Linked DNA regions of Schizosaccharomyces pombe. The protein of the gene in region 1 binds, or shares a complex with, the protein of each later gene. Each region holds a gene or a part of one and is shown on either strand. Other genes may lie near its edges. The genes, in order: ago1 and arb1.

The links.
Region 2: ago1 (region 1) and arb1 share a complex: the UniProt entries of both Schizosaccharomyces pombe proteins name them as parts of the argonaute siRNA chaperone (ARC) complex.

The regions. Positions count from the first base shown.
Region 1 is NC_003421.2:332,170-349,273, reverse strand, and holds ago1 (argonaute), read right to left. Parts: upstream 15,196-17,104; 5' UTR 15,138-15,195; coding exon 15,009-15,137; intron 14,803-15,008; exon of another isoform or gene 14,638-14,802; coding exon 12,262-14,637; 3' UTR 12,204-12,261; downstream 1-12,203. Other genes in the region: lipid binding protein Pil1, read right to left, coding at 1-102; TOG/XMAP215 microtubule plus end tracking polymerase Dis1, read right to left, coding at 3,325-5,922, 6,190-6,240; SPOM_SPCC736.13 (dehydrogenase), read left to right, coding at 7,486-8,505; YTH family RNA-binding protein Mmi1, read left to right, coding at 9,707-9,791, 9,920-10,879, 10,927-11,042, 11,096-11,244, 11,289-11,445; mrps8 (mitochondrial 37S ribosomal protein uS8m), read left to right, coding at 16,791-17,104. UniProt on the Schizosaccharomyces pombe protein: Required for G1 arrest and mating in response to nitrogen starvation. Ago1 regulation of cytokinesis and cell cycle checkpoints occurs downstream of dcr1. Required, indirectly, for regulated hyperphosphorylation of cdc2.
Region 2 is NC_003424.3:1,891,334-1,906,966, reverse strand, and holds arb1 (argonaute inhibitor protein 1), read right to left. Parts: upstream 7,002-15,633; 5' UTR 6,916-7,001; coding exon 6,802-6,915; exon of another isoform or gene 6,761-6,801; coding exon 6,678-6,760; exon of another isoform or gene 6,639-6,677; coding exon 6,621-6,638; exon of another isoform or gene 6,582-6,620; coding exon 6,330-6,581; exon of another isoform or gene 6,269-6,329; coding exon 5,536-6,268; 3' UTR 5,362-5,535; downstream 1-5,361. Other genes in the region: SPOM_SPAC110.06 (uncharacterized protein), read left to right, coding at 1,147-1,239; protein ctr1, read right to left, coding at 3,761-4,648; gar2 (nucleolin), read right to left, coding at 7,942-9,444; sdh2 (succinate dehydrogenase iron-sulfur subunit protein), read right to left, coding at 10,676-11,503; Arv1-like family protein Arv1, read right to left, coding at 13,273-13,851, 13,907-14,041, 14,327-14,413; pof15 (F-box protein), read right to left, coding at 15,316-15,633. UniProt on the Schizosaccharomyces pombe protein: Component of the argonaute siRNA chaperone (ARC) complex which is required for histone H3K9 methylation, heterochromatin assembly and siRNA generation. The ARC complex contains mostly double-stranded siRNA.

The DNA.
Region 1 (17,104 bases):
CAAACGACCACTACGAGTGGAAGAGGAGGGAGGAGGGGGGTTTAACAATTGTGAGGCCGTAGGGGCACGGCTGTTTCTTAAAGAGTACGCACGGTTCATCATCTTGCAGAAATAGAAATAGATGTGGGTAAATAAGAAGAGATGGTAGTAATAATAAAAATAAGTGGTAGTAGTAGTAGTATATTAGTATGTGATGATACTAATAAGAACAATTATAGTGAGAATAATTTAGTAGAGAGAGGACGAGTTATAAGTAAAAAAAAAAGAGTAGGACGAAAAATGTTTAACACTTTACCAAAGGGCGATACGAAATTTCGTGGGTATATAGTTAAATAGGATAGATAGTTAGATAGAGAGAGTGTGTATAAAAAAAGCCCAAAAATAAAAAAATTTGTCGACTATATGAAAAAATGGAAAGGAGTCGGGATTTTTTTTTGGGGAAAGGGAAAAACGAGGAAATTTTCCTTTTGGATTTCTTTCAAATTCACTTAGCTTAGCTTAACTTTTGCTTAGCGGCTATTCTCTGGGTATAACAAAAATGTGATGGGGTATATATAAAAAAAAAAAAGATTATATATATATATATATCCCAAGGTATGTTATATCCTATGGTATGAGAAAGGATACTATAATAAAGTATAGTATAGTTAAAGGATAAAAAAGAAAAGAAAGTTTTGACTAAAGTCAATGAAAACGTGAGTATGGATAAAGGTGTATCGGTAAATGAGCGAGCCAGTCTATATATACAAAGCTAAGGTGGGAAAATGATATCATCACTTGCCGTAGTGAACAAGAGTAGGTAAACATCATTTGGTCAGCTTGCTGGCCACAGTTGCCATAGATATGTCCATTCCTTCTATCACGTAAACATGACGTTCCCATTCGCGATAATATAAAACCGAATTTCTTTCTGGATAGCGATGTTGACCAATGCGTTTGGCGCACCGCGTTAACTGGAGCTGAAGGGGGAGGGGAGGGGGGCAGCGAGTGTTGAAGGGCCGATGGGGTAAACAAACGCGTCGTCGTTGTGAAAGAAAGAAAGAGAGTGAAAAGAATGAATAGGCCGGGGAGTGGTAGGATGTGGTAAAGAGAGAAGAGGGAGAAGTGACGATGGGTGTGTTGAAGAAGGATAGAGCAGAGGAAGGCAAAGTGGGTAAAAAGGAAATAGAGTAGAGAAATGAATAGAGATAGAGGGGATAAAACGGAGGAGGATAGGACAGAGGAGAATGGGATAGGATAGGATAGTGTAGAGGAGGATGGAGTAGCTTAGGATAGAATAGTGTAGTGTAAAGTAGAGTAGAGTAGAGTAGAGAAGAGAAAGAAAGGTAAGAGAGAGAGAGAGAGAGACAAGAGAAAAAACAAAAGATAAATGGACCGATAAAGATAAATATAGAAAGAAAGATAATATAAATGGATAAATATGGATGAAACAAAAATAAAAAAAAAGGTTAAAACAAAAGAGAATAGAATAGAGAAAAGGTAAAAGTTAGAGGCAACAAGGGTAGGTAACAAGGAACGAGGTGACAAGAAATGGAAAAGTGAGAGAGAGAAAAGAAGTAGCGAAAGAGAGTGAGTGATATTGTGAAGAAGTGAGTTGTGAGTGAAACGGGATATGAGTGTAGTAAGAATGAAGAAAAGAAAGATGAAATGAGTTCAGAAGAAATTAGATGAATTCAGAAGAAATGATTGTAAACGAGTTTAAGAAAATGCCGACGCTGACTATGAATGAGTATTAGATACTTGCAACAATTTTATCAGTTTATTCGGAAGATGAAGAGGATCGAGTGAATACGGAAATATCTATCTTTGGCAATACGGGAATGGAGCACCAAATGGAACACGGGAGTGTAACGGGCATGGCATGGCATAGCATAGCATAACATTGCATGGCACATGGCATGGCGATGTACTGATAATAGCTAGAAATGCTAGAGTAGCGACGAGAAGAGAGAAAAAAGAGCGACAAAAGGAAATAAAATAAAACGAAAGAAAATAAATAAACAAAAGAATACTCGAAATAAAATAAAACGAAATAAAATAAAATTAAACGAAATAAACAAAAGAATACCTCTATTATTTCCCTACTATTTTCCTACTAGTTCCCTTCTACTTTCACTTCCTTTTTCATGGCTCTTCTTCTCTCTCCTGCTCCTCCGACCGTCCGTACTTCTCTCCCTCTCTCAAATCTCTCTTCCCGACATATGGGAAATCTTCTTTTCCCTCCTCGCTGCCTTACTGTACTAGACTCCTGCTCTGCCGCCGCTGCCTTGCTTCCCTCCTTTCCCTACGGTGCGCGCGCACGATAACCAAACGCCGCAAGAAGCGATCGTCTATTGGATAAAGTTAGTGTCTCATATAGCCGAGGTATGGGAAAGGTGCGCAAAGGCAGTGCGCAGCAGGACAGACAGTTAAGAGGGTGCCAAGCAGTGCAGTAGAGTGCAATGTAGTACAGTAAGCTACCACGTAAATGTAGCAGAATGCAAGGCATTTCAGTAGGTGCAATGTAATGCACTATTTTACAATGTAATGCATTATTTTACAACGTAATACACTAACTAACAATGTAATACAGTACGTTCGCTTTCGCAAAGTAATACACCGTTTTGTTATCACCTCGTAGTTTTTATTTGCCCATCTTGCAAGGAACGAATTGCTGCGCTGCTTTAAAATGCATAGTGCAATACCTTATAACGTGCTGTATAACCTTATGCATCGTTTATCTATCAGTGGAAAAGCTCTTTCGTACTTTGCATTTAACGTGGAAACCTACAAACTCGTTCCTACTTATTCCATACTACGCCAAACTACACTGTACCCCCGTTGTTCGCTAATCCTAGGATCAAGCCTAAAGCTAGTGGTATTTGTTTGGCAATGCGCACAGGGGACGCGCTTTGTTGAATTGGCAAATGGAGCGCAGAAAAAAAGTTGCAGTTGTCTTTTTCCCGTGAATTCTTTTTCTTCTTGTGATTTGTCTTTTTTCTTTTCTTCTCTTCTCGTGAATTCTTCTTTTTCTTTTCTTTTCTTCTTTTTCTACATTTTCCTATTCATCTATCCAAAACTCTGATTTCTTTCTTGACCGTTTCAATTAGCATTACAAAATGATCGACTTTAATTAGAAATACAAATTGAGTGATTTCAACTCTACCTAATCGACTTTAACAAACACTCCAACAAAAAACTCTACCAGCATTTCCACGCTTGTGCATTCACCAAACTGACGACCTCTCTTACAACACGTAAAAACGACGCTCGATTTGCCTTTCTTCGTCTTTGCTAAATCCAGCATGCCCTAATCAGTCATACTTTCGGATGCATCGCCGGGCACTACGCCTTCTTCATCCTTTGGATTTGCTCCCACAAATGACTTGACAAATCATGACTCTCCCTCCAGTTGTCTCGTGCCTCTGGTGAAAACATAAACGACGGCCTCGAAAATTGCGTCGGCTTTTGTAACATTGATCCTGCCAGCGAACGCCGTGTCCCATACGAACTTGGCTTTGTCGACACAGAATGAATACCACTCGATACCATCCCAGCGTTACCACTTTCGTCCATTGCTGTCGTTGCTGTCGCCCTTGTCGTCACCCTCCCTATCGCTCCACTCTCGGGAACTTTTAAATCAATATCCATCGCTTCTTCATTCGTCTCATGCTGCTTCTCCAACTCTAACAATACTTGCTGCAATCGTGTACTCAATCGATCCTTCTCATTCCTTAAACTCGTAATCTCCACCTCCTTTTGCGATATCGTAGACTCTTTCTCATACACCTGTTCTTTCATTTCTGCATTCTGAATTTGCAAATCATTGATCTCTCGAAACAACCGTTCTCGCTCCAATGCATCTTCCGCTTCCTGAACTTGTCGAATGGCTTTTTCTTCTCTCAACAAATCCAGCTCCACTTTTTCCGACATTGTAATCGTAACCAAATTGTCCTGCTTTTCTCCTCCACTTTTCATAGACTGTTGCTGTGGGTATTCTTTGAGCGCCGACGCTGCTTTCATCGTTGATCCCGGTAACTTCTTCGTGGAAAGTCGACTAGTCTCTAACTTTTTCGAAATCGAAGGGGATGACGGAAACGATTGTTTTGACGACGCCGCATTCGAAACTCCCTTTGAAGAGGATGATGGCGCTTTCAATGTAGAACTTGCAAATCTATTCACCAACGATTGACTACGCAAAGACGTCGTCGATGGTTTCGTAGGCGAAGATCGTGTAGATAGAGATTCTTCTGTCAAACTCGCCTGTGATGGATTCGAGGATGGTAATGGTGAAGGTGCTTGTGGTGTAACAGCCAGTTTAACCGGTGATGTCTTTAAAGGAGAGGCCACTCGTGGCAGCCTGGGACGTGAGGGTTGATTCGGATGCGCATTCACCGTAATGTCCTTGGAAAGTTCTAATATTTTTGGTAACTTTTTAGGATCCAATCCCACAATATACTTGGACAACACTGGCTGACTAAAAATTTGCACAAGTGTTGCCAATACATTTGTGGTAGCCATTCGGACTGGCTCAAACGTATCGTTGATCAATGTCACACATAGGCTACATAGCGTTTCAAGCGATGCTCGAGGCGGACAAACATCCGTCAATTGTAGGCAACGATTCAGCCATCGAAGTGTCTCAGTTTTTACTTGTGGATTTTTATGCTTCAAAAATTCTAACGTCTCATCCATTATATCATTCAACCCACAGCTCTCAAAAATAGCATTGGCCGCATCCAGCAAAGAGTGCACCAAACTCGATTTTCTCTCTTTAAACCTATCAAATAAAGAAGGCAATACAATACCAGTATACGGAAGAAAGCCCTTCCTTAGCGCCTTGGCAATATGCGTCAATAATAAAGCCGCTACACCCACTACCACCACGTTTGCATCTTTTAGAGACTTTGCAATCACTCGAAGTAACTCACTATAGTCACCCTCTTGATAAACAGGATTGGAACACACCGGTACCATGCTTTCCAACGCTTCCTTTCGATCTTTCCACTTGGGAGAAGATAATGCGGTATGGAATTCTGGGGTTAGTTTGGAAAGAACATCAACGGGCGTACTTCCGACAATGTTTTTGGCAGGAGATACAATGGAACGGGAAGGAGATGCTGAAAAATCAGAAGGTTGTGAGACCTTTCGGTTAGGAGTACTGAAACTAGAAGTAGAGCGTTGCAGAGTGTTTCCCTGCGAAGATGACTTTGAGGACAAATGTGGTTTGGGTTTGGCATTCGATGAAAAAGAAGGAAGAACCACCTCTTGGGTGTTGAGGGAATTTGAAATATGTCCTCCCGTGGTCGTGCGAGATGTAACATTTTGAAAAGAGGCCTCAAGATCGGAGACCTGTATTTGCTTTAGTTGAGGAAACACATGAGTCTTGAATGCATTACCAACCCAAGCGTACAAGGTTATGGATAGATTCGAAGCTTCTTGCCTGATATTCTTATCTGATTGGGCGAACAAAGTAGGAATCAGTTTATAGAATGGAATAGGAGAAAGTGCAGGGATTCCAAAATTCTCCAATAAACTATTTAATTCTTTTATAGAAGCAACTGCCTGCTTGGGATGCTTAACGCGAGCCGCCGAAAATAACCCTTCTAATACATAGTCCAGCGCATCGGATTTAGCTAAAATGAGTAAAGCCTGGTGAGAAGCATCACGGATAGATTGTCTAGGAGATGGTAAACATTTTTCGAGTAGAGGAGCAACAACGAACGATTTGGCAGAATTAACTCCTTTTTGCCTAGACTTGTCTAAAAAGCATCGCAGAGATTTTACGGCATGCTCTTGTGTTGGTACGTTACTATCACACAGCCCTTGTTTCCATAATGCTGGGTCATGAATCCAAGGCTGGAAACAAACGTCTGAATCATCCAATGCTCGGTTCAATGCATGCAACAAAGACTCATATGCTTCAAATCGAACTTTCCAAGACTAAATAAATCAGTTAGAAACCTAAAAACTTAAAATAACCCACTACAGAAGTGAGATCCATCAATACTAGGGAGAACAGGTATGAAAAGAGTAGTGACGGAAACACAAAGCAATGAGTAAAACTAATTGAAATCGTAAAATACAATGGAATTGATCAACAGTGCCCTTAATGCCGTTGCAACGATATTTCCATTTGTTTGCTTTTCATTCCAGTTACATTTTTCTGGACAGCAAGCTTCTATCTCCATTAATTTGTAAAAAGCTTACCTTATCAAAAATTTGACTGAGAATGCGGCTATTAAAATCGTCCAACTCCATTTACATAAACAAATATAAATTAACGACTCGTATGTTTACAACCAGCAGAGCATGAATAGTTATGTAAAAGAATGAATTTTATAGACAAATAGAAAAATGAAAACGAATGAAACGGACGGGATTCTAAACAGTAATGAGTATGGCTCTGAAATTGGAGTTGTACATGTGTAAATAGAGACGACTAACTTTACGGACGACAATGTTTCACTCACACAGCCAGCACCGTAGAGTTAGCACAATTCGTTAGACCATCGTATTGTTGAATATGAACGAGCGCAAGATTACACTATTAGAGCAAAATGTAAATAAAGCAGAGAAAAAGAGGAAACCATCAATAATTTTAAGTTTTTAGAGTAATTTAATTCTTTAAATAAATAACTTTATCTTAAACCGTACCAAAATGATGCTAACAGAAGATGAGCACCCAAATGGAATGTTCACCGATATATTAAGCCTTATGCAAGTTGCTTTTTGAAACCGATTAATGTGCTATTGGGTGGCTCTGTAAGATGCTTGTGATCTAGTATAAGTGAAAAAATGAATTTCTAAGACTCTTACTGAATAAAACATGACGTTTAACTCGTTTAAAGAAGGGAATCCTATAGATTGCAGATTTTTAAGTTTTCGTTTCTATTCATACCTAAGTCTAATTTTATCTTTCATTTGCCCAATCTGAATTCGAGTTCTTCAATTACAATAAGTTCAAGTTATACATTTTTAAAAGGATTCCAATATTCTGTCGAGCACCCAATTCATACATTCAATTCTAAACAATCCATATTTCGTTTTGTAAGCCAAGTAGTCAAAAGTAGCTAGTCGATGTAATACCATGCTTGATCAAATTTTCGGTCCGCAAAGAAGCCGTGTTACGCCTTGAGTTTCTTGGATTTTGAAGAAATTTGTCAGCGGTCATTGTATAAATTACGAATTGCTTCCTCTTCCGCTATCGTCACTCTTTGCAACTTATCATCTGCAGCCACCCTTACCCATATTCAACATATTCGACGAGAACGATATTTAAGTGTTTTCTAGAACTTAAGAACGCTTATTAAAAGAAAATTGTTGATTTATTCTTGAATCTGTTCCAAACTTGATCGATTGATTTCATAATCGCTACAGTTTCGAGTTAAAGACATTGGTAATAAGTTTGTTCTCTGGCCACTTCTTTGCAATAAAATCCTCCCCGCTCATTGTTTATAAAGTTCTTTTTTTTTAATTGATATTAGCTTCAAAAATTTCTTTACGATGTCCTACAGTTTTCAGGGATTGCTCAACCGCGTGAATGAGAGCGCAATTGTAAATACTCTCAAAGAGTACACCGGTCTCAATACACCCAAATGGACCTTTAACGATATTCCCGATCTTACGGGTAAAGTCGCTCTTGTCACAGGATCTTCAGGTGGCATTGGTTATGTAACTGCCCTCGAGTTGGCTAGAAAAGGCGCAAAGGTCTATCTGGCTGGTAGGAACGAGGAAAAGTATCAAAAAGTTATGAAACAGATCCACGATGAAGTTAGACATTCCAAGATCCGTTTTCTTCGTTTGGATTTGTTAGACTTCGAAAGCGTGTACCAAGCAGCTGAGTCTTTCATTGCCAAAGAAGAGAAATTACACATATTGGTCAATAATGCTGGTATCATGAACCCTCCCTTTGAATTGACTAAAGATGGTTATGAACTTCAGATTCAAACCAACTACCTTTCACATTACTTGTTCACTGAGCTCTTGCTCCCCACACTCCGTCGTACTGCAGAAGAATGTCGACCTGGCGATGTTAGAATAGTTCACGTCGCAAGCATTGCATATTTGCAGGCCCCTTATTCTGGTATCTACTTCCCTGACCTAAATCTCCCGCATGTACTTTTGGGTACTTTTGCTCGTTATGGACAATCTAAGTATGCCCAGATCCTTTATTCCATTGCTTTAGCCAAACGTTTAGAAAAATATGGAATATATTCCGTTAGTCTACACCCAGGTGTTATCCGTACCGAGCTGACTCGTTACTCACCTACCTTTGCTCTCAAATTGTTAGAGAAATCAGTCTTCCAGTATTTACTTTTGGATCCAATCAGAGGCGCCATGACTTCCTTATATGCTGCAACCAGTCCCGAGATTTCCAAAGAGCACTTGAACGGCGCTTACTTCACTGCAATTGCTCAGCGTGGTATTCTTCATCGCGCTCATGATGATGCCTTTGTTGAGGAGCTTTATCGCTATACTCATAAGATATTTGAAGATCTCAAGTATTTAGCTCCTTCTCCATAATTCTTTTGCTCGTAATCTGAACAATGATGAACGCTTCTTGAACCACTTAAACTAGTAAAGTGTTTCTACCTCCTCATATATTTTTAGTTGTCTTATGTTGGAATCCCTTTATGATTACTTTATATTAGTAATAATATTATACAATTTCGTATTGCTTAAGAACCACAAACAGCATTTCGACTTTGTCGCTACATCGCTTCTTCCCTGGTAACAGTAGGTTTGATCTCTTACTTTTCTGTCTGTCAAAGCATTGGTATTGTGTATTAGCCATTTTATCCACACTTTAGTCGACTGTATTTTAATTTACAAATCAAATATTTACTTTATAATGTTGATGGTAAATATGGAAACGACTAGTCGACATTTGACCATTCACTATTTACACTCAGAGCAATTTTTTGTTTTTTTAATCTTAAAAAAGAATCTTTCTTTTGAGTATCTCTCTGTGCCACGGGGCATTTTTTGAATCTGCCGAACAAATTTGTAAGAAATGTGAATTTACAAGGAATACTTATTAAAAAGTAAAACTCTTTTAAAATAGAAATTTTTTTATTTACTCAGTAATTGATGGTTTTCATATTCATTTGTTTTATCAAAGTACTTCGTATTCGTTATTACCCGTAATCAAATTACTCTCTCACGATTATCTGCACCTTGCCTTCTTCCAGAAATCCAACACTAAGGAGGCTACTAGTAAACCCTATAATAAAGTGTTTTATTAAACATTCAAACATTATTTTGAAAGTTGACGGGAAATAGCTAACTTTTGAAGAAAGTGAAAAGCTATAATTGGTGATTTTTGGGCTAAACATATTTTTTTTTCTTTTTTTTGGGGCTTGGTCTTCACTTGACTTACCGCTATTCTTTCAAGAGTATATCTATCTTGCTAGTTCTTGCTTTTTTATTTCTCTACTCGGCAAGACTTTTAAAGTAAACGATAGTGGTTGATATAAATTCAGTTAGTGTATTGACCAGCAATTTTGTTTTTTGGGGGGTTTTTTTGGTTCTCTCTTTATTTTTTTTTGTAAAAAAAATATAAAGCAAGGGATTTTGGTGAATATTTATTAACTTAATTTAATATTTATCACAATCTTCTGGCTTCAACTCATTTTCCGTTACTCAATTTACAAATTTTTAGCATTTTAAAGAGGATTTCAAAAAAAAAAGATTATACTTTTTATCACACATAAAAGAAATTTGAATGTCAAACACAAACTTCTCTACTTCTAGGTCATCAAAGTCCATTCCGGAACTTCCAAATTTGGAAGCTCTGCGAAGCCTGTGGCGTAAGTAGATTATTGTTTAAAATATCAGAGAGGAATGTAAAATAGTGTCATTGAAAATTGACTGACTTTTCGCCTAAAACCTCCTACTGTTTAATTTTGTCGAGAATTTTACTAACCACCTTATATAGCTCCACCGTCATTGAACGAATCGGGCGATACTAGAAGCGTATGGACTACTCATACCGGAGAGCCTGTTGCGTCAAGTGTTCTATCTACTTCAGGTTCAAACAACTTTTCTTCACCTCTGAAAAGACCTGCACCAGAGTCACATGACGCTCCTATCGGTAGAAGATTGATGGTAGATGATCCCCGCTTAATTAAACATGGTAAATATGATTTTAGCAGGCATTGCACTGACTATGGTCACTCCTACGAATGGCCTTATTTTCGATCCCTTCGTCGTGAGTCTATGCTTTATCACACTTCGGGATCTTATCCAGAAAGTCAGCCTCCTTACTCTTCTTATTCAACTGATGCTCCACATTATTATCATGCAGGTTCGGAATCCTCTGCTTACTATGATAGCCGTTCTCGTTTGCATGGCATACAACCTCCTCCCAAGCGACGCACACTTAGTCCTCCCCCTAGACGGCTTGCGGACCCAGTGGTTGTTGGAAGTTCTCGTTATGTTGAAGAAGAAGTATACAGAAGGCCTCCTTACACTTTAGCTTCTGAAGTTCCTTCATCCGCTTCAGCATACCAAGCTGGTTACTCTTCCTATCCTGTTCGATCTTCCCCCCAACTTTCTCATGAAGACACTCGTCATGGTATTGCAAGCAGTGGTTCAACAAGGTATCCTTTTGTACCTGCTAATACTCGTGCATCTCACTCCCCTAGTTTGCTTGAACCTTATGCTCACTCCCTTCCCTCTTCGGTCGCGCCAGTTGGAGCTTATCCTGAGAAATCTTCTTACCTGCTTTCTAATTCCAGCAATGATAGTGCCTCAAGAAAAGAAAAACCCAAAGCTCGTGCATCTACGCCTCCTCCATTAAATTTTTCCAGAGCAAGCGAACATAGAAATGAGAAGGGGGAACGCATTTCGATGATTAATCCCCGAGTTGTTCTTGACGAAAATGGAATTTCACACCGTAAGGCTTAGCCCATTAAACCAAAACAAATAATTCTAACAACTTAGGCTCCCGTTATTTTATTATGCTATGTGACAACGAGACTGCCATTGCTCATGCTAAAAAAACTTCTATTTGGGCAGTCAAGAAAGATTCTTCCAAAAGAATTTCTGATGCATATAAGGTTTGTCTTTTATTTCCCTTAAACGATATAGTTTTATACTAACACTTTAACAGAAAGCCAGTGTTTATTTTATTTTTGTGGCTCAGCAAACGTACAATGCTTTAGGATATGCTCAGGTAGTCAGCGACCTAAATAGCACCGAACTGCCCTTTTGGTCAGATAGCTCGCATGCTGGAGGTGTTCGCATCAAGTGGATTAAAACGTAAGTGTTGTACTTTTGAAGATTTCTTCTGCTTACCTAACTAGTTGCAATCTGTTTTCTGCTGAAATTTCTGAAATTGTTAGCCACATGGATCATGGGTCTGAAGCTAGAGATGGCATGGAAATGATGTATGATGAAGGCAGCAGACTTTGTACGTTGATTAACTATGCTATAATGAAGCGAATTGGAAGAGACCGTTGATATCTCCCTTTTGCTGGATTTTCAAGAATGTTGGATGCTTCCTTTAACAAAATTCATGAAACTATATACTATTGGAGCGGATTGATGTTAAATGCAGTGGATTTGCTTAATAAAGCATTCCGTATAGGTCGCTCATCAACATTAAAGATTTAACATTATTAAAAAGTTTTTCTGAACAATAAAAAAAATGCACACTATAATGGTGTTAATTTTCAATCTTGGAGCAAATCAGTTAAGTAAAATTATCATTATTGACTTGTTTTTGCTCCTCTAAACGAAATCTTAACACAGTATGCAATGTTTGGTTCTTGAACTTAACCCAAATACTCTAAAAAATTAGAAATTCTGATTCTCTTCAAACAGGCTGTTTTCAAATTTGAATGATTTTGCTTTGAATGATGTTTTTTCTTAATAAAAAAGCTAGATGAATCTGAATTAGACAAATAGGTAAATTGGTTGTTCAACCATTGTGCATGGAATTTATCGATTTTAATCACTTCTTCTGAGATCCTTAAGTATCATTTAGTTTATCTGTATTTCTATATTGGCGTGACACTTACATAAAGTTCGGGCTTTGGGTTAAGTGAATGTCATTAGTATTATCGTTATCAACATTTGTTGATCGTTGGAACATGGTCAAGCTATCAACAGTGGATAGAGCATAAAAAAACTAACATTAAATGATTAAAGAAAATTACAATAATATAAAGCAAAATAAAAACAGAAGCAGATTTAATAAGGAAGTAAAAGTTGTGGGCAATCCAGTAGTCAATCGTATATCTATTTCATTACTTATTGCATGCAATCCATCAAACATTACATATACCACATCTTTGTTTTCAATTTACTTGATAGAGCTAAAAGCGGCTTTACTTCTTGATCCATTGATGCTTCTGATGTCTCAACAAAAGTATCATCGGCTGTCACGTCTTGATAACGGGCTAAGTTACTAACCAAATGCGCATAATAAACAGGTGGAACCAAGGAAACAGCACTTGTTGCTCTTGCATAAACATAACAAAGATTATAACACAGTGTTTGGAATTGGTCCGGTGGCATCTGAATTTCGTCGTGCAAAACCGTGTAGTGAACTGGGACCGAAACGCCTTGCAGAGATGGGTGGGATATAAGGTAAAAATCGTACTGATAGGGGTGAGTAACATGCTTTTCAATAATTGTACCAGGGAGGGGATTTCCATTTCTATCTCCGTCGGATTTGTTCTTAATGAAGAAACGAGCGTGATGTCTCTTCTGCGTTGTGCATACTAGAATCTTTGGATTGTATTTTGGTGATAGACTATGACACGCTTCTTTAATCTGAGAAAGCTCATCGTTTATTACTGATAAAAATTGTCCTTCCGAGGTACCGTCACGGAAATAGATAATACGTTGTGGTTGTTGTTTAGTCATTGCCCTAAACCCTTGCAATAGATATACCACGATATCCTTCATTCCTTCAATCACTTCTTGATGACGAGGTTGGGAACGTGAAACAGCCGTATACTTGCAGCCATTTAGGTCTACCGATGCCACAATTGAAGCAATCGAAACACCTGTTGCACCAACCCCAGGGTGATAAACATCTCCACCAAGAATAAGAGTAGGAACATTTCCCAAAGGGTTGGATTTGGGTATCAACGAGCAATTAATTCCTCCAACCTTGACATTAATCTTCATGCCTAAGTTTGCACAGTATTGGGGCTTGCTTTGTAAAATATGTTTGCTAATAGCACATTGAGAAGGAACCCCTAACATAGTATTGCAAACACGTTTAATGGAACCATATGGTTCAGGCGAATTTTTATCCAAAATAAAAAAGAGATAGTCAGGAGGAGCATTACCAACCTGTTCAGCTTTTTTATATAACGTTATACATAGTTCTTCAACACTCCCTCTAATATCTGCATACAAAACTGGAGGTTTTTTCATAACAAAATTAATTCCCAACGAAGTGAGTGTTTGTACATATGTTTGCAGGAAATTTTCAATACCCCTCATAGGGAGTCTACGCGTTGAAGTAAAACACATTACAGCCCAAGATCTAATAGGAGCCCTCGGCGGATCAAGGAACCGTTTACCACGTAAATTCCAACGTCCACTAACGGGACGCTCAATGCAATCTCCTCCGTAACGAATAGAAGGAGTTTCTAAAACACGAGCTGGAACTTCGAGCATCTTTTTCTGAATTTTCATACCATATTGGGTTAGGTAGGGATCTGTATCCCAATCCATCTGATGGACAAAATCATCGATTTGCTGGACACGTTCGAAAGGTCGTTGGACCGCAAAACGGATCATGTTGGCAGTTTGATCACTATTCAGTTTTGCAGTATATCTCTGACCTTTTACAACAAAACAGAATTCAATAGGAAGCATCGCCCCGTTCTTTACTAATATGCAAGGTAGGTTAGGATATTGCAAACGAACATTGTGATTTTCAAGAAAGTATTCAGCTACAGAGATTTTTTGCTCTTCACCATTAAGACGGCGAACAAAAAAGCTATCACTGGCACTTTTTGAGGAAAATCCCTCGATGGAATAAACTCTATTCGCCAGGTCAGTACCGACATTATTGCGATGCTGACAGGTCACCTTTAGAAACCGAAACTTGCGGGAAAGACGTTTTAGGTCAAAACGTGTTAAGTCTCTAACGTTCGAGCAATCTGTGTATTCCATAAGGATCTGAAGTAAAGAATCATTACGCCAAAATGCACTCGAAGATATATCTACATTAACAGACATGAAACCCTGATTCGGTCGTATAGACTGGTAAAACCCTTTCCAAGCCTCTACTCCACCTCCAAGTGAAACTCCGTTTTCACCTGTAAAAAAAGAATGCATGAAGCCAAACAAAGTCTCAGATGGTTTCTTCTTTAACAGCAAATCCAGAAACATTATACTGCTTAGAACTTGCGGATCCGAAGAATACTTTGAGTTTACAAACTGGCTAAGAGTATGCAAATTAATTTTAGATGATTTTTGAATAGAGAATTCAATTTCTCGAGGGTGCGACTCACTGCCTATGTTTACCTTGATGGTGCCATCAGCAATATCACCTTTAGACCAACACATGCTTCGCCCATCATAAACAGAATTCATCCAGGAAGATCCAAAATACTGTTTAACTTCTTTAGAATTCCAAATCAACTGGGATTGCTTTCGTGGGACACGTGAACCATCACCTACTATGACCTACAACAAAAGGCGTTAATTTGATGCAATTCTACGTTAATGTACAAAATTTGAGGAAGAGATGAAATACAAAAGAAAAGAATCGTGCAATGCAAGACAGATACAAAATGATGTAGCAGGCAAAGTAAACAACAGAACATTAAAAGAAAGTGAGAAAATAAACCAGGTATAGTAAAGTAAAGTCGAATAACGAATGAAGCTAACAAGTACCTTTAAACAATTCCAGTAACACTTGCACGATTTATTTCTGTATTTATATTTATATTTCAGACAAGAAAGGCCACGTGTTCTGTTATGCTTTTACTTTAAATGTGTAAATTTCCTTTACAGTGCTCTAATTCCATAAAAATGTGCGATTTCTAGGAACTTACATGATACTGGTTGATAGTCTCGTTAGGTAAAGAAATGATTTGAAAAAAGTTAGCTTTCAAAGTAATCTGCTTGCCCAACCCTCCATAACCGGGACGTAAAGCTATTTCTGAGCTTGGTTTATACGACATCCTACTCACTCTGAATCATAAAGGACGAGTTGGCTGAAGACAATTCGCTTTGGCGGTTGGAAGCTTATATATACCAAACCCTAGATTAGGACTCATCATAGTTGTCTTGTATATAAAACCTACTTGAGTTATAAACTATATTAAATCAAAAAACTATCAAGAAAATATTTTATTTATCACTTTGTTATTTACATGCTTAATACATTCGAATTTTCTATATACTAAGGTCTATTTCTATACTTCTCTGAGCACGCAAACGCAACATAAGTCTTATTTAATTTCTGAACATAAGAAATATAAGCTTATCTTTAACAGCTTTTCTTAAATTACCGCATAATTTTGTATAGGTTTATGTTTTTTTAAAGGTTCCAAATCGACGGATTTTTGAGTTTTAACCCTTCTTTCTTTATATCGTGGTTGTGATTCAATAAAAGTGAACCCAATTGTTATTTGTAACCATTGACGAAAATTATAGTACATTGAATTACTATTTGTTTACTAGTTCTATATTAACAATACCGGGAGGTTCAAAATCAATGATTACTACTTGTTTTCTTTTTCTTGTTATATTTGCTTGCTTGAAATCCTCTTTATAGTTATAATACATTTTTACAACCTGCTTTTGAGAATATTAATCTGGCAACTTTCAAGTAAATGATTTCGGTAATTGCACTGATTTTTGAAAAGTGTTGATTTCGAACGTCTTTCAAATTAAAACGGACATTTTTTTATGAAATTAAAATGCCTTGTGCTTTGTGTAATACTCGTTAAACAGCTTACCGAAACTAACAACCTTTTTAAGAAGCGAAACTTAATTAAATCAATATATTATACTGAGTAAATCAGTAATTTCTGGACGATCGGCCACATAAAGAAGCATTATAAATCGTTCTCCATACTGTTAGGCTTTTGTTTTCAATTCACGTTTTCTTTTCTGTAATTAAAATATCAGTAAAGAATTCGTTATGCCATTATTTTATAAAAAATTTTTATAATCCTATACAATTGTGAATTTACATTGTATTCAAATGCTTTTTTACATCCCTATATTTTACAGGCGTTCGCTGTTGTACCGCTTGTTTTTTTGAACACTGCTTATTATAATTTTTTCGATTATTACATTTGCGAATACCTTTCGAGGATTTTGGAACTACTAAACGCACAAAAATTCGCTTCCCACTTCTGACAACTTTGTGGGTTTCATGGTAATTTGAATGCTATAATATTAACAGATTGACACAGCGATTTAGATCCATATTTTATTCTGTACAAAGTAAATCTCTAACATTTGGTAGACGGCTTTTGCCGTAATAACCGTTGGTTTTGCAATTTTGCGCCTTGTTTTCCAAACATAGTAAACCGGTGCTTTTAGTTTATTATATAGTGATTTATTGTGAACTTTAGTATCGTGTCGTTAATATACTACTATCCAGTGATTACTGCAATGTCCATTAACTTGCTAATAGTGTGTAACACTAGCTACACCGTTCACTACTTACTATTCTTCCAGTACAGAGAGAGGTATTTGGAAGTGACTAGCTAAACTGCATTCATACCTCTTTTCTTTCCTCAAAACACCATTCTGTATAGAAAAAAAAGGCTTTTATTGTTGGACTGCTTATAAAAGATTAGGATTGTGTTAAAAAAGTCGAAATGCAATTGCATTATGTTTTTTCGCATTTGCAAAATTCATTTCGCGCTCGCAAGTCGTTAGCAAGCGTTCCTAACTGTAACAGTGTGCTCGAGTTATGTGCTGTTTTGTATCATCAAGGATTTTTAAGCTCGATTCAACGCGGAGATATTCATGGACCCGATGCTTTACCCACAATCACCACTAGGCAAAATGTAGCGACCCGCCGTCTATGGTTGGGTTTAAAGTACTTTGAGGGAAAACCGGTTCTTCACTACATACGTGCAGTATCAAAGCCTAGTAGAAAGGTGAACTTGACTCCTTCTGAGTTGTTGCA
Region 2 (15,633 bases), on another chromosome or scaffold:
GTTGTAAGGGATGGATGGAAGCAAGGGGGAAGTAGAGCAAAGAAAGAAAACCAATATCTCGGGCCAAAAACAAACTAAAAGGCAACCAGTTTATAGTGAGATTGAAATGGATGATGTTAATACACGATGAATCGACAATACACAAATCACGATCCGGTAAAGAAAAAAATGGAATGGAAAGAGTTGATCAATGGGGTGTATGTAGTGTAGTGTATGGCTAATGTAACTAACTAGATAGATGTACGTATCTAATGTATGGAATGATGGAAATCAAGGATGGATGTAGGGTATGGGAATGAAGATGGAAAGAGGAAGAAGGAAGAAGGAATAAGAGAGTAGTAATGTTGAATTTGGTAAAGGATAAATTCAATTTTCTTCATGCTCCACCTGCATTAACGCAAATACGCATTTTATTAACAACACCAGTAATGTCCACTCTAAACAAATAACAATCAATGCACCTACGTAATAATAAATAACCTCGCTTAAACAGTATCAAAAACAACCACCAATGATAAGGGTGGTAGCATTCCTTTTCATAGTCTATGACTGATGATGACTTTTCATTGGCCAAGAAAAGGCCTCGGCTACCACGCTCCTGATAAAAGGACGAGTGATTGCTATTTTATCTAAGATAAGGCCCCTAATGCTTGGAGACCGATGTTATCATAGATAGACGATGTGGACGATTTTAGAAACGAATTAGGAGGAGAGAGCGGGATCTGGCCAATGTGTTGACAACGGATGATGTAGAAGCTCCGGGTAATGGAAGGATAATTTGATAACTAGGTTGCAGGTAATACGTAGGGGCGACGGGGAGAGAGTGTAAGCATACAAAGGATGTGAGAGAGAGCATAGAGAGTAAGTAGTTGTACTATGAGATTGGAGGGGTAGGAGAGGGACAAAGTAAGATGCAAGCGCATGTAAACAAACAAAGGAACTAATCAAAAGAATAAAAAAAAGGTAAGGAAAGAAAGAGAAAAATGAAAATGAAAATGAAGAAAACAAAAAAGAAAAGAAAGAAAAAAAGAGATGTAGAGGTATATAAATGAAGGAATGAATGACTGAAGGAATATGGACGCATGAGATATATATTTTATCCAAACATTCTAAATATACTCTTTAATACCTTTAAAAAAAATCAATATGAGATTTCTTTTTTTCTTACCTCCCTCCTTCATCACTTCTTTTCTTTACCTTGCTCTCTATTCCTTTCCTGTACCATACTGCATTATTTAACAACTACATTAATAAATCGCGCTTTAAAATATCAACCTGTTTTTATACCGACTTGTTTCTCTTTGGCATAAGCGTTATAGTTATTGCCAATATTCAAATCAATAGCGACAACGCCAAATAAAGACAGACGTGGTCTTTTCGCACTTATGGGTGGACGCAGCTTTTGCTAAAAGAGTCGCTGCACCCCATCTACCCCCCCCCCAAAAAAAAAGAAAAAAAAAATACAAAATAAAATAAAGGAAAACACATTTATTCTTGCTAAAAGTAAACACTTAAATTTTTAGAACTTAAGCAATTCTTGTAGAAATTTTCCCCGACCTAGCTGTTTTTGCTTTATAGTTTCGCTTCATAGTTCGCTTTACTTCCTTTTCATCTTTGTCTCCACTGGGCTTAACTGTACATACCTTTTAGCTGCAAACATACCACGTTTCAATCGAGGCAAAATAGAACGAGAAAATGGCCTAGCAAAACATTCACTTTATCTGTCTAACGAGTGCGCTGAAAAAAAAAAAAGAGCACATTCGGACGAGCAAATTAGGACATTCAACTTTTACTTAGCAATCATGCAAACTTGATTAAAAATTTACAAAAACAGCCAACTCTGGACCTTAGTAAAAAATTTCAAAACTTTTTACTTCATGAAACCCTGAGTTTTATCACTTCGCCCCCTGCGACATTTTCCTGTTTACAGCCAGACATTCTGCTGTTTGAGCAACTTCCTTGTAAACGCATCATACTATCCAAGTGCTACTTTAAATTTTTTCCGTGATCTACATTTATCTGCTGCGCACATTTCACAGGCAAAATCCCTTATGTAGCAGGCATTTCTCTTTGTTGTTCTTGAATTTAGTCAAGCCCCGCAATTTCGAGTGTGGAGACACAAGACCTCATTAGCTTTCAATGCTAACGCATTTTGTGCATATCCGTTATATTACGCTGTTTTCTAATTAAAACTTTTAAATAACGATATGGTAACGGCTTATTACGCCGTATGCGTTATACGCGGTTGGTAAAAAAAATTGCATAGTATATCGTGTCGTAATACATTTTGCACTCCAACACAATTTCACTGGGTTTGGCTGTATAATCAAATGTATGTCATTGCCGAAAACATCAAGAAACGAGTAGAGAATGATGATGGTACGATTAATATAAAAAAAATTTCAAAACGATAGAAGAGGGTTGAAAACGAAAAATAAGTTATACTAATGGAAAAAGCGCACTGAAAGGTATAAACATTAAACAACTTTCGCTTATTTTTCTAATAAACAGACCATTTTTTCTTTTTTGCAGACCTTATTCTTTCGCACTAATATTTAAACAAAAATTTTGTATTTCAACTAGCAAAAATTTCGATAAACAACCAATCAGTTCCGTTTTTTTTATTCTTCTTGCTGAAGTTTGGTTTTTTATGTGTTTACAATTTTCAGCAAAATAACGCACACCACTACACTTCGTAAAGCACCGCTCGGGAATGCTGAGATTGCCCTGAATTCGACAGCGGAATTCAGTTTTACCTTATTATCTACCGCCATTGATTTACTGAAATTCAAATTACAACCCATACAAATCAATATCTTCTAGTGATCCAATATTAAAAACGAGAATAGTAACTTTAATAATATTCTCAATTGTTTTTACAAACGTACACGGTCGGTTATAACTGCTGTTTTGAAAGTCTGAGTCATATTCCTCTGTTTCCTAATTATCATTTTCCGCATTTCAAAACGTATCTTTTAGTTTTGTATATATACTTAGTTATGTTGCTTGAAGAAATTTTGTCTTTCCTTATCAAATTTGTGGTTATTTCCGCATTCACCATTGCGTTTCTTCTGATTTTGCCAACGTTGAGTGCTATTGTCTTGGACATTGTGGTATGCGGATACCTTGCTTTGTACCGACTTTATGAAATTGGAGGCGGTTGCATCCAAAAGCCTTCAAAAGCCGTTCACCCAAAGTCCTCTTAATTCCGTTACAGTCTTAGCTGGCTTTCGAGTTTTGATTCTTTTTTTAATAGATTGTCCTTCTGTTTTTTGTTTTTAAAACATATAAGTTGTTTTCTCCTCTTAATATCCTCAGAACGTTTCTTTGCTTTGATATATTTGGCCGTCCAGTTTATTTTTTTTCCTTTTTCTGCCGCCAATTAAAAAATTTATAAAAGAATGCTTAAGTAAAGCTGACCATCCAACTGGTTATTATTTTTCACTTGCTTGTATACTCTTGCTAATATGTTTTGTGCTTTTTTCCCTATCCTTTCTCCCTTATTAATTTTATAAATACGCAACAAAAAAATGGTTCTCCAAAATACATAATTTAATATTTCACATTCATACTGATTGTGAATTCAATAATCAGAAATAAATAATTCGTTAAAATAAAACAAAAAAGAAGAAAACTACTGCTGTTTTTGGTGATTTCGTGTTCCTTTTTTCCTACAGTACTATTACATTTCTCTGTTTTCGCTAAGAAGCTTTTGTTTATGAGTCGTTATCATTACGTTTTCATTTCATTAGTTTCTACCTCAATTATTAGAAAAATGTTCAGACATCCATCTCTCCCCCAACTTTATTGCATAGTCTCGCTCAAGAAATTTCCGCCGTTCTTCAAGTTTTTTGTCTCGTAAGGTTAACACATCTTCTGTGTTTTTTCTCTGCTGTTGTGTAACCTTAGCATGAATCTCCTTTAAAGATAGAAGTTGCTCTTCTCTTTCTTTTTCGTCAAAAGAAAACTGGTAAAATGCCGTACCTTTATTCCTTACTTCCTTAGTCGAGTCATAATGAACTGCTTGCTGCTCATCTTCCTTCCACAATTTTTGAACCTTTTCTTCGTCTACTTCGAAGGATGGCATATAGTCACCGTATATTGGCTTTTCGGGCTTGTACTCCTCCTTTTGTGAAAGTAGGGTATTACCGGTCTCGTAAATAGAGACACTCCTGGTTCGCCCAAATTCATCCGTTATTTCAACTGTTTCATTTTCGGGTGCTTCCTCAGCCCATTTGCGTGTGAAGTCGACAAGGATTCCATCATCTTCTGTCTCCTTTATTTCCAGTTCTCCGGCAGCATACTGGTCGTATTTTTTAGCTTTTCGTTCCAGTTCCAGACGACTTCTTTGCAACAGCTCTTCCTCATTAGCTTGTTCAGTTTTTAAAGTTCCTTTTCTTTCCTCGTCCTTTCTTTTTTTGATAATATTACTTTGAAATTCCTTGTTGGATTTTCTTTTTTGTTTTACCAGTAATTTCCTTTTGGTCGTCTCGTTATCATTGGCTTCCAATAATTTATCGGTATACTTTTGATGGCTAATCTTGCGCTTCTCGTCCTCGTATCGCTTTTTTTCCTCAATTAGTTCATTAAGGAAGTTAAGATTGCTTTTAGCTGAGACTTGAATTTCGGATTTCTTTCCAACATTCATCTACTCGATACTTCAATTTTTTTAATTAATTTAATAATTATTTTCAATTCTTTTAAATTATTGAGAATGTGTAAATATATCAAAACATTCAAGTTATTGCAGAAAGCCGTAGTTTGCTTACTCCTGTACAAAAATAACAGGTCCAAAAGAACAGCAATTACTTTCTTCAATTCAATTATGCTTCTACAATACACTTAACCCAGTAAAACAATTACCAATTTATTTTCGTCGTTTTGGAGTTGTAAGGTGTCTTTTCCTCACCTGGGTTATTTCGCCATAGGCGCTGCGTTTCGCTATGCTAATCACAACTTCCAATCCAGTTACTTGATTTCTATCTTTACCCAGCACGACTTGTTCAATAGTACAAGTTATGAACGTTATTGATGATTGACTATTCTTTTCCACATAACGTTTTAGCCTTCATAGAGGAAAAATACTTATACACGTAAATTTTTTAATCGTTTGTGTTTACAATTAAAAGTGAATACACATTATAGCTTTAAATGTTCTTTTGATCGTGTTTATTGCATTGAGCCTGACAGTAACTTAAGATTATTGAAAAAATCATCCGAATAATTCTTATTGCTCAATACTGACTCAGAAGCGACTTCTGCACGATCTAGCTTTCAAAATATTGTCGCATAGTTTGACGTATTTGTATAAAAATATTTGAAAACATTAAATTACATACACAAGTAATATCTATTATGTGATTGGGAATTATAATTTCTTATACTTATTGTTTATGCAATTGGGGGAAGTACGAACTCACCAACGGGTCATTAATATATGTTAGAACTTTATCCTCATCACAATAAGAAGAAGCAACTAATTAAAGGATTTCATATCCAGCTATATTACAAAAGTAACTATATTAAAATACAATGCTATTCATCTTTAACTTCTTCATAAAAGGTGGGTAGCACAGCAAGCACAGTGTCTAATATAGTCAGTCCATTATCCAAAAAAGTGAACGATCCCTCTAAGTGAGTGCCATCAACAGTGTTGTTCAGTAAATCAGATTCCAAAATTACTTCTAGTCTTTCCTTATTTGTATCTTGAGAATATTTAGATCCGGGTGGATCCCAAACGATAAACACTGCTTTGCATAAAGATTGGTTTGAAAAATTCAATAGCGTTTTAGAAACTAACTTGACTGTTAAGTACTCTTGTTCAACGACTTTCCCAGTCAAATATCGTGGACCAAGAGTTCTCTGGATGTAGTCGCGCGCTTGCTGTGTAGAAAATCTACTAATTCCATCAGGCTCAAATAGTTCATCATTTGGCATGAATTTGGTATTATTGGATTCAATGAAATTGACTGAACTATCACTTGTCCTATCACTTTGCGATTTGTCCCATAAGCCTTTATAATTGTCAACATGTATACTAGCCAATGCCCGCTGCAATCTACCGGGAAGTTTAGTTGATAGCCTCTTATTAGAAATTAATTCAGTTTCTGCTTGCTCTGCTAATAAACATGCGTCACGAATATTATCTTCGAATTCTGGTGCAACATTGTTATGCAAAACACTTAGCAGAAAATTTCTAACAATTTGACAAGCTATTTGCAAATCCTCTTCCTTAGTTAGTCCAGCGTTATACAAAATGTGTGACGACCTTAAATTGATTAGCTAAAATACAACGTGAATTAAATTCAATGGAAACATAAATGACTCACAGAAATACTCCAGCAACCCACTTAAAATCAATATCATATTCATCAAGTATATCGTATTCAATATAATCAGTCGTGGTTTGAGCGGAAACTTCTCGTGCCTTCGCATCGTTATTAATATCAGTACCCCCTGTAAACTGTTTTTGGCCCGTAGAAACGCCTCCTAAATCTAGATACATTGTAAACAGTCTTATTCTTGTAGGGTCGCTCCATTTTCTGCGTGATCGATATCTTTGAATAAATCGCTCCATTCGCCTAATTTGTCAGCAAAGTCCTTAACATCTGTTTACTAACACAGTCAATGGTATGTTCCTAGAAGTGTTAGTAAGACACAATATTTTGTATTCTCACCTGCTGTATAATGTCTCATTTTCCAATTTCTCTTCAGCTGTCAGTTCGGGTTCTTGAAAATAAGGCTCCCATCCAGACAATCCCTAATATTTATTAGACGGGTTTTCTAAAGCTTAAGAAATACCCTCTTTTTTCTTCTATTACCGAGACTTTTTCCTGTACGTTTTTTAAAAGTAGTAAATTCCACGCTATCGCCAATACAACCTGTACTGTCATTTTTAAAATCACCTTCTGCCATCACTCAATCACTTCATCTGGACTGGAAAGTCAGTACACTAGTCGTATAGTTGATTTACTAGTTTATCAGTGTGGTAAGGGGAATCTAAGGAACCAAATTTACAGTGTTGTATTAGAAGCTTTGTTCATAGAGTTAAGTAGACAGTTCCTTTGCCGGATTTAGTAACGCTGGATATATTATTCTACAACCGTTTTTTGAATATGCCAGAACTCATCACTACTGTTACAATTGAATTTAGCTATATTATAATTTGATATACAAAAATATTTTTTTTTAATTTGCTTAAAATAATCGCAACCAAAGTGTAAGTAAACATGCTTGTATTAATTTAAAAGTTGAAATAGAAGCGTATTTGTAATGTAGAATCAATGATACCTTCTATTGATGCTTACCTAATTTAATAGACGAGACATTACAAGTTGAAGATATAAGACAATATGACAATGGCTCGACTACATTCTTCATTTATGATTACGGGTAAGACCACAATCAAAGTTCAACAAAAAATCATTAATTTAAAGTGCCGTATGGAAAAGCCCAAAAAGGAACACAAAACGGTCTTCATTTACTAGCTATTAGAAAGTGATCAACGATGATTGTGAGTAACATGGATTGATTAGATGAACAAGAACAAAACTAAATAAGATTCTATTTTATATTAAAACCTATCTAAAGCTATGTCAAAAGCTTCTATGGAACGTATAAAGGAAAGGTGAATACATGAACTAAACCGTAGAACAACGCCAACCATCACTGCTTTGAAATTGTAAAACCAACGGGCCCATATTTATTATCTTTATAAAGTCAATAAAACCAAACCAAACCCAAATTCATTCCATAACAAACCCAAACAAGTCATTTGTATTTGAATACTTCAACCCAATTAAATCAAATCCACAGCCCAACATTTATTAAAACCCTTTATGCCAAAAAGTTTCCCAAAAACCCAAACTCATATATTAATTTGCTAAGGTATTTACATTTAACCCATAAAAATGAACTCAATATAGTTAAAAGCCAGTATACTTAGTCAAAAGTGACTTTGTTCCCAGAAAATGGAGCAACCGAGCCACGGTTGGGGTTTCCAGAGCGAGCACCACCTCTACCGCGACCACGTCCGCCACCAAATCCACCACGGCCACCGAATCCACCACGACCGCCAAATCCACCGCGACCACCACGGCTACCTCCACCAGTACGAGGAGTTGAAAAGTCCAAACGACATGGGCGACCAGCAATAAAATGACCGTTCATTTCCACACATTTCTTGGCAGAGTCAATATCAGAGAAAGTAACATAACCGAAACCCTTAAGACGTCCTGACTGAGGATCTGTGGGCAAACGAATGGATTGAATGTCACCGCAACCGCCAAAAGCCGTACTGAGATCATCTTCAGTTGCGTTAAAAGACAAATTTCCAACAAATACGGTATCACTAGGTTCAGATAATTGGTCTCCAAAATTACCCGCACGTTGTTGAGCATATGGTTGAGGGTTGGCTGGGCGAGGATTAGAGAGATCTAAGTTGACCATACGACCATCAATTTCCTTGGTACCATTAGCGGCAACAGCAGCCTTAGCAGCCTCAGGGGTCTCAAAATCAACGTAGCCGTAACCCTTTGAGCGACCGCTTTGGCCATCCATAATAACACGTGCACCAACAATTGTACCGTACTCTTCAAATTCCTGCCCTAACCACTGATCATCTACGTTCCAAGAAAGACGACCGACGAAAACAGTGCAAGTCTCGTTAGAATCTTGAGAAGGCTTGGTAATCTTAGCAGGTCTTTCTTCAGAAGCAGGCTCGGCTTTACGTTTCTTCTCGTCTTCAGAGCTGGATTCGGATTCAGAATCAGAGGAAGAGTCGCTGTCTCCAGATTCTGAGGAGGAATCTGACGAGGATTCGGAGTCAGAAGAAGACTCGCTGGAGCCTTCTTTCTTCTCTTCAGTCTTCTCGACCACCTCTTCTTCTTCCTCAGATTCAGATGAGGAAGATTCGGATTCAGATTCAGATGAGGAAGACTCGGAAGAAGAGTCACTAGAGCTCTCCTTCTTTTCTTCAATTTTTACAACAGCCTCTTCTTCCTCTTCAGACTCAGAGGAGGAAGATGATTCGCTGGAACTCTCCTTCTTCTCTTCAGTTTTCACAATCACTTCTTCTTCAGACTCAGACGAAGAGGATTCAGATGAAGATGATTCGGACTCTGAAGAACTAGATTCGGATTCTGAAGAGGAAGACTCGGATTCTGATGAGCTAGATTCAGACTCGGATTCTGAGGAGCTTTCTTCCTTCTTCTTAGATTTCTTTTGCTTTTTTACTGATTTCTTTGAAGGTTCGGGACTAGAAGCACGCTTAGCCTCCTTTTTAGATTTTTTAGGGGAGACATCGGTTTTAGAGCTTTGCTTTGCAATCTCTTTAGCAGCCTCCTTAGTAATCTTCTTGGACTTGGAAGGTTTCTCAATGGCACCCTTCTTTGATGCAGTCTCCTTCACTGATTTCTTAACGGAGGTTTTATCCTTTTTTGCCATTATATTCACAACCTATACCAAAAGCCCGTTTAAAAGAATTTGGGAGTTTTTTAGTTTGACTGCTGGTACGGCGCGACAAGCTGCTATATATAGCCAAAAAAATTTTTACCGATGATATATGTACCTGAAGCCGTATACTAGTATAGCAAATTTTCTAGACGTATTCGTTAAACTACTAATATAGAAGCTTGTTCAACTACTACTATTTTTTATAAAAGCGAGTTTAACTAATTACGCTATCAAGTAATAGCTATCTGCGCTATTCAACAACAAACCAGCAAAGTAAAATATTCGCCATTAATATTTAAAAAATGAGTGTGTCTGAAGGCTTATAACATGTCTTAAAGGTAAAAAGCATATTGAAATTTAATAAATTGTTGAATCAGTGAAACGAAGGAGTTAGGTTTAGTCTTGCGTAGTATTATCTGGAGTGGTGAATATGTAAATTCTTATGAACGATAACATCTTATCCAAGTTATTTGTGTTCGTCAAATATTATAAACTAAAAAGTGGCCGTGAAAATGTACATTGTTGATCCATTGAAATTTTAAAATCATGTTATAGTAACAAAAAATTTCGACCAGCCTATGGAGAATACCATGGTTTAATCGTCATATTAAGATTTATTTTTCTTTCATTATTGTGTACATGATTTCCGTTTTTATGTGATACTTTAATTAAATAAAAGATGCCTCATTTACTTATCTCAAGTTTTACAAAGCAATTACCTTAAAGGGCTCTCAATATGCTAAAAAGTTTTCAACTCTTTAACCAAAGAAGCAGCTGCTATGTTAAATGCAGTAACTAGCCACAAATAAACAGTGAAAAAAGTGGTTTAGATAATTTTCAAATACATGCTTAATTATTTCATCTGATGTAACAGCGTAAAAAATCACAATCAAACAATTCAATTGTGCACAAGTTACCACGAAATAGCATATTTTCTTTAAAATAGAAAAGTTTACCATTTCCCGAAATTATTAATGGTAAACTAGATTTAGATATTGCAAATAAAAATAAAGGGTTCATTAACGGGAACAACGCAAAAGTAATGGTCAGATCGAGAAAGTAATGTAGCATAGATGACAGCTAAACACAGAGCTACGCAAGTAAAAAAAATCGTAGAAGAGAAACATAAAATAGGTTAAGTAACAACGGGGGTTCCTCTTTAACAAGAAATATTGGAATCATCAGATGCGAAAGAAAAGACAAAAAGAAGCGTAAATCTTGTTTAAGCAGTAGCCATCAAAGCCTTTACCTTGGCAATGGCAAGGCCAGGGTTCAAACCCTTGGGACAAGTACGAGCGCAATTCATAATGGTATGGCAACGATAGACAGACATAGAGTTCTGCATGACATCCAAACGTTTAGCAGTAGCTTGATCACGAGAATCGATGATCCAACGATAAGCCTGCATCAAAACTGCTGGGCCAAGATACTCTTCTGAGTTCCACCAGTAAGATGGACAAGAGGTAGAACAACAGGCACACAAAATACATTCATACAAACCGTCAAGCTTGGCACGGTCAGCGCGAGATTGGTAAAACTCCTTGTCTTTAGGGATGTTATCGTTTTGCAACCAGGGTTCAATACTCTTATATTGCTTATAAAAGTAGGTTAGGTCAGGTACGAGATCCTTTACGATGAAGCAATGAGGTAAGGGGTAAATTTTAGTAGGTTTGTTATCTTTTTTAATGTTACAGATGCAAGCCAAAGTATTACTGCCATTAATATTCATCGCACAAGACCCGCAAATACCTTCTCTGCATGAGCGACGGAACGTTAAGGTAGGATCTTGCTCATTTTTGATTTTAATAAGCGCATCCAAAACCATTGGTCCGCATTTTGTTAAGTCGACTGTATACTTTTGAAGCTTTGGCTTTACTTCTGGTTTCTCTGGGTTCCAGCGATAAATCTCGAAAGTTTTTAAATTTTCACCCTGTGACTGAGGATTAGCAGAAGTGGCAGATATGTTGGCCTCTGTAGCCATCATACGGGCATTTCTGTTAACAAAATGCTTCAAAAACGGGCTCAAAACTTGAATTCGACGGCTGAACATCTCGATATGTTTTGATTTTTAATATTGGCAGTTGGTAAGACTGGTAAAGGCGAGCGTTGTGGTTGGCTATTATAGATGGAAACAGAATCAATTTTATTGGCGGCAGAAAAATACATTAAATTTTTCACTCATATCCAAAATAAAACTTTTAAATATTTTTGTGTATTAAATTTAACAGTTTCTTCAAAAAAAAATCCCCCGTACATCTAAAACATGTATGGGGATCGCGTGTTTACTGGCCTGTCGTAGACAGCGTTAAATTATTTACGCGATAGGAAGTTGGCTAACGTATTACTCGCTTAAGTGCAGTTAGTCAAGATGGTCAAAGCGGTTTATCCAAACAAATTTAGTTAATTAATGTTTAAATACGCATACTTCGAGTTTTAATATTACTTCCGTAAAATAAATATTCAAAAAAAAAACCTATTTATTTGGTAGAACTGTATGACTTTAATCTCGTCTCTTTTCATATAAGGTGCTATTAACTGATTAATAAACCGGTAACCTAATAACCCTTGAGCCGAATTACTGCCAAATTTACAAAACAATCATGTAGATTAGAGTGAAAGGATAGACAGTATGAAAATATTAGAGTCATATTAAAAAATAAATACTTTCTGTAATTGATAATTTAATTAAAATAAAAAACAAAAGTCGAGAAATACAAGAAAATTACATGTTTGCCCTATTTTCAAATTAGGTTTTAATTTAGAGATTAGAAAAACATGGTTAATTATACGGAACTTATTTGCACAAAAACTTTTTACCGTTACAAATCTAATTCATTATACAACCCTCCGAAATCGGAAAGAATATTTTTCTGCTGCTTTTTAATAGGGCTACATCCAACTGAAGATTAGTCTGCCAACCTAATCTTCAAGTTTTCCATTCTTCACTAAAAGCTAATGTAACCTGTTATTAATTGATTTAACATACTAATTATAAAAAGCTGACATCTTAGCTACACACTAAATTATTATTATTATTATTTTTAAATTTTTTTAAAAGCACAAAATGCAGCACATGTAGCAAAACAACGCTATTTTTTTTTTTTGAATTGGGTTTAAAAAATAGTTTACTGTATTCAATCTCAACGGGTCTGATTGCATTTGCTTACAGTTCTATAAATTACTTACTTTCTAATTTTTATTTCATTTAAAACTTACTGAAATATTCATTCGCTTACTATGAGTTTATTTTACATTACGAGCTAAGACGGTGTTAGCTGACCTGGTTGCTTCTATAACTAAACAAATGTATAATGAACAAAGACTTATATACATATATTGATTAAATATTTAAAAAATATCGTAGCTGATAAAATTGTGATGGGTTCTTTAGCGACAGCAAAAGCAAACCTCTGAACTTTGTTATTAAAAAAATGCAACAAATTCCACTGGTAAGAAAAATATCTTCGAATGATCATTTGTTTAGTTATGCTCAGCAAAATAGTTTTACTTTTTTCAGTTTTTTGCCTTTTTTATTTCCTTGCAGTGTTTCCTCTATATAATTGTATCTATTACATATCTATATGCTTTGAGGGTGTAATTATTATTTTTATTTAGACCATTTCAAGTTTCATATTACAAGATTAGGAAATATGATTACTGGCTTCGGTTTCAATTGGTTCATCAAATTCATATTTTTTAAATATCAACAACTTATTAAAGAACTAATAATTGACCAGTTTCTTAAAACGGGTGATATAAAAACTTTTAATAACTGATACACTATGTCGATGCCGTATTGTTTCCCATTTCCTTTTGTCATTATACTGCAGTTTGCGCAGTTAAAGTGATTGAACGAAAGTATACACATAATAGATTTACAAAATGCTGAAACCCATCACAAGGAGTTGATGGTTGAATCTGTGAAAGTCCTGTTAAATGTAAAAAAATATAAACGACAATAGATCTCACGAGACTGGCAAAAAGAACGATTAAGCCAATTTTAAAATACCGCCGGCTTCCAGTTAATATACATAGCGCATCCACATTGCTAAACAAAACTACCCATTCTACGACGGTTGCCGCTATAGAAAGGTCGTAGTCCCAAATTACCATGAAAACGGGTAGCATTCTTGTGCTAGAAGAAAGTATTACAGCGCCAGACGCAGAAGTCCAAGATTTCCAACCCATTGTTAGGCATAATAACAGAACTACTGAAATTTGATACACAGTTGTCTCAACCAAACATATTAGCAGTAAAGTCAAGTACTGCCGGATAATTGGCTGGGAGAGAAATGCTTGGGCAGGTGTGAAGTAGGGGAAGAGGGCTGCGCGTTTTTCTAGTCGTGACCAAACTAAAAAAACGTTGAAAAGGGAAATTAATATGCAGAAATTGACAACCTTTGCGCATTTTGTCAGCTATTTAAAAAGCCATTGAAATGAATAAAATACTTACGTTACGAAATGTTCGTGCCGACAGAGAATTAAACAAAAGATGACGGTAAACTTGCGGTTTCATCAAAATTACATCCATGCTGATGAGAACAACATCTAATTCAATGTATTTGTCCGCAAACTGTTTGCAGTTTTTCTGTAACATAGTCGTTAGTTTGAAATTGTACTTAAAAAAAACTAAAGAACAAGTCGATCTTAACGATTACAGCAAGACTACGCATTCCACTCTCAGTATTCATTAAGCAAGATAAATGGAGACAAAAATTGAATGATCGTCATTTGCTTACAATAATGTAAATTATATTTGAAGAGAAAAATATTCATGAAGCTTCTTTTCGTCGCCGTTGGAATGGACTTGCCCTTAGCTCCTTACGATCAAGTTGACTACATCAACGAAACATATTGTGTGTATATTACTTACGCATTGAGCTAGTCGAATATTACTGGTACCCCTTCCATAATATGTGTATAAAGAATCGACTTCCGCGCCGCATTCGACGCATTTCATGGTGACGGGTGGTGGTGTCAATGTATTGAGGTATGTTTATGAACCAAACATTCGTATTCTTGGTTGACATGTAAAAACAATGAAGATATATAGAATTTAAAGAAAAAATGAAACAAGTAAGCTTATCTTTATTTGCATAGAAACATAAATACTAAAACTTATCCCAGAGTTCTACCAATTTTAAATTTTATTTGAACACTACCCAATTCCGTTAACAGACGAGTTGTAAAGCCAAAAAACCACCAATGTCAAACCTAAATTTTACAGTTCTTCAATAATATAAACAAATACTGCTTTCACTACATATTTAAAAGATTTGCGAAATAACCACGTCGATTCCAGCATAAAATCACTAACTCTCAAAACAATGCAGACTGACTGGAGCGAAAGAACGTAGTATAGACTTAGTCACATTTACAAGATTAAGCGTCTATTAAAAAGATTTTACAAAGGCTAAAATATTCGTAGAAATGAGAAACGTGAAAACAACATTCAATTGATTGAGCAATTTAAAAAAAGGTAGGTTTTTACTTTTCAGTACAACAAAAAAAAGTTTATTAGAAAAAAAATGTTAAGAAATAAATTTTGTACATGAAGCCAAATGCTGAATGAAATTAAAACAACGCTGAAAAAAAAAACCAGTCGACTGCGTAAAATGTATAAACGCATTTATTAAATGAGAAACCAGGATGTATTAACACAGCAAAACATACATCACAGGTAAATTAAATTTTTAATTAAAAGAATAATAAGTACAAAATGTCAAACAAAGAAGTCGTGAGCGACACAGGCTTGTCAAGCAACGAAAATAAACATTAAAAGAAAACGGAACGCAATCATGATTGTCTCATGAGAATTAAATAATAGAATATTAAACAATGCAGAATGGAAAAAGTTCTTTTTTAATGTACTCTTTTCTCGAGGCAAGATAAAAGGTACTCCGTTTGAACAATAACAGATGTAACAGAAAGATCATACTTTCCAGGAGCAGCATCAACTCTTGTAACAATTAGACCGATGACATGTTGAGTGTTTTGATCAAACCAAAGTGTTTCAGGTTGACCGGGTTTTATCGAATCAAGCCAATCCCGGCGGACACGAATAGGATCTTGAAAGCAAGAAAATATATCGGCTTGATGACGATCGCAGGAAGAACGAGACAAGGTAACGTGAATTCGAACATTGATATGGGGAGCAAGAAACTCCCCAGGGTATCGTTC